2 linked regions of the Macaca fascicularis genome follow. The protein of the gene in region 1 purifies or fractionates together with the protein of each later gene. This does not show direct contact. Links are inferred from orthologs where the notes say so. Each region holds a gene or a part of one and is shown on either strand. Other genes may lie near its edges.

Region 1 (4,337 bases):
TGGCAGATGGTCTCTGAATAATAATCAACATTATTTTCTCTTAATTCTCTGGACTTGCCCATGAAATCCAGAGAATGAATTGCAATTTTCTTCCTTTTTTTTGAGACAGCGTCTCACTCTTGTGGCCCAGGCTGGATTGCAATGGCACGGCCCCACGGCAACCTCCCCTCCCGGGTTCAAGCGATTCACCTGCCCCAGCCTCCCGAGTAGCTGCGATTGTAGGCGCACTTCATCACGCCCAGCTAATTTTTTGTATTTTTAGTAGAGACAGGGTTTCGCCATGTTGGTCAGGCTGGTCTCGAACTCCTGACCTCAGGTGATCCACTGGTCTCGGCCTCCCAAAGTGCTGGGAATACAGGCGTGAGCTACCACACCCAGCCCAGTACTTCATTTTCAGATGCAGACATGAAGGACCAGAAGGCTGAAGCAAACTGCCCAAAGCCACTATGCTGACGGGTGGCCGAGTCTGGGTTTAACCCAGGCCCGAACCTCAGTTCCCTCATGATAAAGTTGGAGTGATGATGTCACCTCTATCAGGATTAGGTTGTGAGGCTCAAATGCCATCATGCAACCACGGCAGGCACATGGGGGCCACTCTTCAAACGTCTGTGCGCTTCCCTTGTGCCCCGCCCTGGCACACAGCCGCCCCTGCGGAGCCGAGGGATCCCAGCCCGGCAGTCCTTCGTCAGCTGCTTCTGTTTGGTTGGCGGGGACAGCTGGGCCGACAGAGAAGCCCATTGTCTCTGTCCTCTGGGGCTCCATTGTTGGGGCCTCCTCCTGGGTTGCAGCCCCGCGGACACCCCCAGCTGTTCCTCTGGCCTGGCTCAGCTTCTCCCGGCGGTGGGGGTGCGGGTCGGGGACGAAGACGCGTGCACCCTGAAGACGGTAATTAGGCCTGCTCTACAGAGGGAAACACAGGCTCTGGGAGCCTACATGCCTTCGCCGGAAGTGCTTGTCCCGGAGCTCCTGCAGACTGGGCCGGGGGTGGGCTCGGGTCGGAGAGGTCACGGGGCTCCTTAGGTCACAGGCGGCAGGGCCAGAGAAACTCCCTCGCCCCTACGTTTAACCCGCGGAAACAAGGGCCCAGAGAGCGCGGACGCCAGCCCAAGGTCACACAGCGAAGCCCCGGCACAGCCCGCCGGGAACCTAGCGTTTCTAACCCTCAGCCTCTCGCTGTTTCTGCCCAGCTTGGGGAGCGCTGGAACAGGACCTAGGGTGATCGCGCCCCTTCCGCGACACCGGTGTGAAACCCGCGCGGCCCTCCCGCCAGGGGGCGGAGCTTCCAAGCCAGGCGGGATTCCACCGGGTATTTGCCTGCGGAGGCGGGACTTCGGGCTTGATGGGCGTTGGGGGTGGCCTCCTGGCGGGCGGGCCCTCTGTGACGCCGATACTGGCGGGGCGGGCCAAGTCGGCCAGAGCTCCGCCCCCAGAGGACGCGACTAAGCCCGGGGGCGTGTCCTGGGCTGGTCCCACCCGCGCCCCGCCCCGCCCCGCCCGGTCGCGGAGCCGCGGCCAGCGCTGGGAGGGCCGGCCCCGGGATGTGAGTGCCGCGGGGTGAGGGCGGGGGTGGGACTCCCTGGCCAACCCCAGGGGCTCCCAGGGGTCCCGGTGGGCGGGCGCGCTAGGGCAAGGGCGGGGACGGCCGGGCGGGCGCGCCAGGTGAAGGCCTAGATTTGCGGGTGAGGGACGCTCGGGACGGGTACTTCCAGGCCCTCTCGGCGCGCCAGACCAGCCCCGCGCCCCTGTTCGGTGGTCCAAGGGACGCGCGCCGGCCGCGGGCCCGGGCCCAGACCCGGAGCGGTCGGGCGACGTGCGCGGGTCTGACGTCTGCGCTGCCCAGCCCCCTGGCTGCGCGGACGCCCCCACGGAGGCAGCCACGGGGGCGGATTTCTGTCTCTGAGTGACGACTGCCAGGGTGTGATGGGAAGGGTCAGCCGCGCAGCGGGGCCAGGGGACCCCTGACCCCCGCCCTGGCTCCGGTTGGGTCCCGATTTGCGTTTCTGAGCGCTTGCTGTGCTTGGCTCCTCAGCTGCATTCTCTGAGTCCTCACAACAGCCACACATTTTGCAGCCGAAGCCTTGTGCCACACAGCTGTGGGGGCAGTTATTACAGTGCAGAGGTGATGCGCGGAGGCCTTGCAGCCAGGCACACCTGAGTGCACGCCCGCTTCTCCACAGACCTGCACTGTGACCTTGGGCACACCTGGTCTGCTCTCTAAGCCTCTGGTGCGATTGTGGTGCCTACCCCCAGGGCTGCTGTGAGGACCGGAATTGGGTTCAGGAAAAGACAACCAGTGTAAGCAGCTGTTGTTGAGCGGCCCTTGTCTGTGGCTGAGGGGCTAGTGGTGCTGGACAAAGGCTGGTGGGTCAGTACAGGCGGGCTCGGGAGGGAGCTGCTTTCTGCTGAGGCTGTCCCAGCTGTGCGTCTGTCCTTTTCCACACGGTAGGCTACACACAACCCAGCTGTACCAGCATGTGCCAGAGACACGCTGGCCAATCGTGTACTCGCCGCGCTACAACATCACCTTCATGGGCCTGGAGAAGCTGCATCCCTTTGATGCCGGAAAATGGGGCAAAGTGATCAATTTCCTAAAAGGTATGGAAGGCCCCCCTTGGACTATCATCTGCTTCCTCTAACCCACCTGTCCTCTCCGTCCTCATCCCCAACATAAGCCTCAGGCTCTCCCATCTTCAGTTTCAGCCCTCGGACTGCCTTCCAACCACGCTTCCGCCCAAAAGGATTTTTTTAACAGATTCCTAAGCATGATATGATGTCCCTGGCTCAGACTCTCCTTGGCTCCCCATGCTGTGGACCTAAGTCCCGCTTCTGCCCAAGAGGCCTAGTGGAAAGGCAGCTGATTACTGATGGGCACAGGGAAGGTGAAGCTTGGAGGAGTCCATTCCCTAAGATTCAGAGAGTCAGGAGGTAGAGCACCTCCACTGCACCTCCCTTGATTACAGATGGGGGAAATTGGGGCCCAGAAAGATTAGGAAACGTGCACACAGTCACACAGTGACTAAGAGGCGGAGTTGGATTTGGAATTCAGAGCTCCAGGCTCCCCACCTTTAGGGCTCATCCCCCTAAGCAAAATGATGCTTCAAAGAGCACATCATTTTAACTGTGGTTTGTAATCAAGGGGCCTGATTTAGCTGGGAAATTCACTTAAACTTGTTTTAAAAGGAAACATTATGTCATCAAAATGGGAAAAGGCAGTTTCACTTGCCATAAATAGGTCATGGTAAAAAAAATAAATGGAATGAAAACAACAGTATAATTTAATCCAGGCTGGTTACTATTGCCTGCAGGCTGTGAGACTGATTGGTGGTTTGAACGGAAGATGAGCAAAGCACAGGCAGGTGTTGCGAGGCCATGCCTCACTGAGCCTCCTGTGATATCATCAGAAGGTGGAGGGAGGCTGGGTGCAGTGGCTGATGCCTGTAATCCCAGCACTCTGGGAGGCCAAGGCTAGGGGATCACTTGAGGCCAGGAGTTTGAGACAAGCTTGGACAACATAGCAAGACCCTGTCTCTACAAAATAAAAATAAAAAAACTTGGCTGGGATAGTCCTAGCTACTTGAAATGCTGAGGCAGGAGGATCACTTGAGCCCAGAAGTTCGAGCTTGTAGTGAGCTATGGTTGTGCCACTGCACTCCAGCCTGGGCTACAGAGCAAGACCTTGTCTCACATTTATTTATTTGTTTATTTATTTATTGAGACAGGGTCTCACTCCCATCACCCGGGCTGGAGTGCAGTGGTGGAATCAAGGCTCATTGCCGCCTCAACCTCCCTGGCTTAAGTGATCCTCCTACCTCAGTTTTTGATATTTTGTAACATGAGGTCTCACTATGTTGTCTAGGCTAGTCTTGAACTCCTGGGCTTAAGCAATCCACCTACCTCAACCTCTCAAAGTGCTGGGATTACAGGCGTGAGCCCCTACATCTAGCCAAGACCCTGTCTCTTTAAAGGAATTAAAAAAAAAAGAAAAGGGAAAAGTGGAGGGAGAATTCCTAAGAAGAGTTTTTCTCACTCTGAGGGTCAACATCCCTGACCCTTGTGTCACCTGCTCCTGAAGGTTGTCTGGCACACCTGAGCCCTCCTTGTGACTATTAGTGGTTTGGGAAACATGGGGATCGCTGTGTGTACAATGTTCAATGCTCCTTGGCCAGAGGGACTGGCCACTGTCCACAATGGCTGTGGAGGCTGCCCCTTCTCAGAAGGCCCAGAAGCCAGCAGTGCCCACCTACCCCTGGGGCAGGGGCTGCCACAGGCCAAGTCTGCAGCCTGCGGGAGGGTCTGGGGCTGGCCCTGGCCTTGAGGTCAGTGGGGAAGCAGGGTGC
Region 2 (4,359 bases), on another chromosome or scaffold:
TTTGTCTCTCACCTTCCTGTGACCTGGAAGCCCCCTCCCTGCTTAAGTTGTCCCCACCTTTCTGGACGGAACCAACGTACATCTTACATATATTGATTGATGTCTCATGTCTCCCTAAAATGTATAAACCGAAGCTGTGCCCCAACTACCTTGGTCACATGTCATCAGGACTTCCTGAGGCTGTGTCACGGGCGTGTGTCATTAACCTTGGCAAAATAAACTTTCTAAATTAGTTGAGAACTGTCTCAAAATTTTGGAATTCACACTGTTAAGTTAGGTTAACGTTCCTCCACGAGGACTCAGATATAGAAGTACAGAGTCCTTCTAACACATATTTAGTTCTGTTTTCTGTACCTCACTTTTGTTTTTCCATCCATAAATCTTCCACTAGGTGGCTGGCTACGCTTAAAGCCTCTCTGAACCTAGTCTAGTTTAGGGGGCGTGTGATTTGCTTAATTAAACTCTGTTTAATTTGTTTACGGTTTTCATTTAACAAAGCTGAGAGTCTGGAGATTTAATCCCTTAAAATATCCACTTCTGTGAAGCCCTTAGAAAGCTTTGTTCTCTAAAGCAGAGGCAGAAACGTCGTTGAGCACGGAACCAACTGCAGCAAGATGAATTAAATGAACTGGATGAATTGCTCTAGATGTAGACAGTCAGAGGCACCCAAATAACAATAGGTTTTACCAAAACGATCAATCACTCAAAATTTATGGTGCAGGCTTCCTTTCTGTAGACAGAGCTTAATGAATATAGTACAAATTTGCCTCAGACAATAGCCTTTTTTTGTTTTTAGATACTTTCCTTAAGGGTGAAAGCATTTAACCAGGACTAACCAGGACTTCTCGTGAAGTTCTGTTGCCTGAGAGTAGTCGTTTGATTTTTGCTAGTCTGTATGCATTGTTTATGTACAGACTTTACTGTTTTTCTCTCAGAGGCGTCTCCTTCTACCCCGAGCCTCACACTACTGGGGTTTCGTTTGTTTTACATCTTGGTTGGAGGGGGCTCTTTCTCCGGAAAATAAAAGACAACGGATCTGGCTCCAGTCCAGGACGGAGAGCATAAAGCCTAATTCACAAGGAGAGCACGTGAGTTCTGCTCTCCGTGGGACTCAGCCCAGAGAGGCCGTGGAAATCTCTAGATGTCAGTCCACGCAACCTAAATTGGCAAAAGGAACGCTTTGCCTCTACAGACCCAGACCCCAGAACAGAATTCGGCCAACCACAGCCAAGAAGGCAAATCACGCAGGCGCAGACAGAGAAGCGGGTAGTAGAAGGCTGGCGGACGGGCGCGCGCACTCGGCAACCAGGAGAGGCGGGCGCGCGCGCTGGGGGCGGGCACTGAAGCTCTGGCTTGGGGTTCACCGGGTCATAGGGCTCCGGGCCCTTGGGTCTCGGCCATGGCTCACAGGCCGAAAAGGACTTTTCGGCAGCGCGCTGCCAATTCCAGCGACAGCGATGGCGCCGAGGAGTCGCCTGCTGAGCCTGGGGTGCCGAGAGAAGTTGCGGCCCCAGGTTCTGCGGAGGAAGGGCCGCCCTCTGGAGGAGGCCGCGCGCGGGTGGCAGGACGGCCTCACCGGGTTCGGGGCCCTCGTGGCCGGGGCCGGGTCTGGGCGAGCTCCCGGCGCGCCAAGGAAGCGGCTCCCCGCGCGGACGAACCCCCGCGTCAGGGTGACGCGGGGAAGAAAGGAGGTGACGGCACAGGGCGGGAAGGGGCCGCGGGGTCTCTGGATCTTTCTCCGGGGGTTCTGTAACTTGCTGCCGATCATCAGCCGTGCTAAGTCCAAGTCCTGAAGGTAGTGAGCGAGAAAACAGCTCGAGCACTCGCCCGCTGCCTGCATCTACCTTTTGGACTCCTTGGGGGAGATAAAACAATCCTGTACAGTTGGGAGGCTCTTCGTTTTCACCATCAGATGACTCCACCAGTTATAACTAACACAAGGTTTATGAAGAACCTAAATTGTCACAACAGAATTCAATAATTTCAAATACTATTAAGTAGGCAGAAGTTATATGTACCTTTTAGACACTTGCCCAACTTATCTTTCTTGAAAACATTTAGCCAGAATAATACAAGAATCTAGGTTTTGGAACATTCCCCTTTGCTTGTTTTCTTTTTTCACCAGTTATTTGCAACAACTATTAAAAATAATATATACAACACAAAGAAGCATGATAGAGATTCATGTCACTGTAGATTGTACCAGTAATGGTGTTAAATATAGTGTCATTTTGAAGTACCTTTGAGTTCTTAAATACAGATGTAAGGCAGCATAAAGTTGTTTACATAAAATGTGCTGCTCTGAGTTTGAATTGTAGCTTAATGAGGAATACGGTTTTTGGTTAGTCTTGAGATCCAAAATCTTCCTACTATTTTTTATTCTCATTAAAGTGATTTTTATTAATTTATTGAGAAGTAAAAATTGTATATACTTATGGCATACAACATGATGTTTGAAATGTGTCTACAGTGACTAAATGGAGCTAATTAACATTTGCATTGCCTTAGGTACTTACTTTTTTTGTGATGAGAACACTTAATATCTACTCTCAGTAATTTTCAAATATGCAATGCGTTGTTGTTAACTTTAGTCACCGTGTTGTAAAATAGAATTCGTCTTGTCTAATTAAAATGTTGTGCCCTTTGACCAGTATCTCCCCAACTACTCTCAATCCCAGTCCCTGCTAACCACTGCTGGACTCTCTGCTTCTGTGACTTCTGATTTCCACTTTTTTAGATTACATATGCGAGGTCATGTGGTGTTTGTCTCTCTCTGCCTGTCTTATTTTAGGTAACATAATGTCCTCCAGGTTTGTGATCTTCGTGATTTCTTGGTCTTTCTTGTGACCTTCTATTTGTCTAAAGTTTTCATGACCTTTTATATTTGTTTTCTGGTGAAACTTTGTAGATGAACGTTGAAGTAAGGAGTTGCTTTTTCTCTTGCCTTCTAGAATAGTGTTTCTCAAACTTTTAGGGATTTGGACCTCCTTTAGACTGTTAGAAATGATTAAGGATTCCAAAGAGCTTTTGCTTCAGTAGGTTATACCTATCAGTATTTACCATACTAAAAATAAAATTTATTAATTCACTTAAAAAATCTATTACATGTAAGGATAAGTAAGATTTTTGTGAAAAATATTGCACAAAAAAAGAAAGAGTAGCATTGTTTTCAATTTGCAGATCTCTTTAATGTCTGGCAAAATATTAATAGAAGACAGCTGAATTCTCATAGCTGTTTCTGCTTTTAATCTGTTGTTCTCTTTTGGTTTGGTTGAAGTATTTGAAGAAAATATAGCCTCTGACAGATACATGGTTAAGACGAGTACTTAATAACCTTTTTAGATCATTGAGAGTGTTATGCTTTAGTATAACAAAGCTCAACAAGTAATAAACTAACCCTTCTTAAAAGTTAGTTGTGGGCAGGGCGCAGTGGCTCACATCTGTAAGCCCAGCACTTTGGGAGGCCGAGGCAGGCATATCAAGAGATCAGGAGTTCGAGCCCAGCCTGGCCAACATGGCGAAACCCCATCTCTACTAAAAATACAAAAATTAGCTGGGCATGGTGGTGGGTGCCTGTAATCCCAGCTACTCGGGAGGCTGAGGCAGGAGAATCGCTTGAAACCGGGAGGCTGAGGTTGCAGTGAGCTGAGATTATGCCACTGCACTCTAGCCTGGGTGACAGAGTGAGACTCTATCTCAAAAAAAAAAAAAAAAAAAGTTGCCAAATGGAATCTTAAACCATATGATTAAATTAAATTTGGGGTGCTCTTACATTAAAACTCTGTTCTGTTTTATACTTTGGATCTTTTACTCATGAACGATTGGTAACATCTTGCGTTATTTGGAAAGTATTCTTTAGATGAGTTTGCGGGTCTTACAAATGTTGGAGCATTTTATAGTACAATACCAAAAAAACTCAGTTAGTATTACCACTAATTAATCAGTCTAAGCATTGGAAAGCCGTTAGGTTCACAGTAGAGAATATACGTTTTCCAAAATCTCAATTTTCACTTGAAATCTCTCATTTTGGAAGTGATAGGCAAAACTGGGCTCAAGTTTGAGAAAATGTTTGTCAGATAGCCATGTCTGAATAACCAGTTTGTTAGTCATTCAGGTAAAATGGTGATGCTTCTTAAAAACAATGTCTAGTTCAGCTTGCAACTCAGTCACACAAATGCTTTTCCTTAAGGCAGCCATTGCATTTCAAGATGCAGCAAAAGTGTCTTATGAATACTTTGATTTTGTCACAAAGAAAATTAAACGTGTGTACTCGAGGGTCAAAATTTAATAAAATAACAATTTTTTAATTACTTCATTAAGAGCAACTGGCTTTTTTCTGCCAATGTGAGGTAGTGAAAA

The links.
Region 2: the proteins of HDAC11 (region 1) and GCFC2 purify together in Homo sapiens (co-immunoprecipitation; 3 studies listed by BioGRID and IntAct, counting the BioPlex papers as one, with this or other methods). This does not show direct contact. The link is inferred for Macaca fascicularis from reciprocal best matches to the Homo sapiens genes HDAC11 and GCFC2.

Annotation. Positions count from the first base shown.
Region 1 is NC_088376.1:151,785,274-151,789,610, forward strand, and holds the start of HDAC11 (histone deacetylase 11), read left to right. Parts: upstream 1-1,492; 5' UTR 1,493-1,538; coding exon 1,539-1,540; exon of another isoform or gene 1,541-1,679; intron 1,680-2,177; exon of another isoform or gene 2,178-2,295; intron 2,296-2,446; coding exon 2,447-2,595; intron 2,596-4,337. UniProt on the Homo sapiens protein: Responsible for the deacetylation of lysine residues on the N-terminal part of the core histones (H2A, H2B, H3 and H4).
Region 2 is NC_088387.1:46,159,284-46,163,642, forward strand, and holds the start of GCFC2 (intron Large complex component GCFC2), read left to right. Parts: upstream 1-1,329; 5' UTR 1,330-1,399; coding exon 1,400-1,691; intron 1,692-4,359.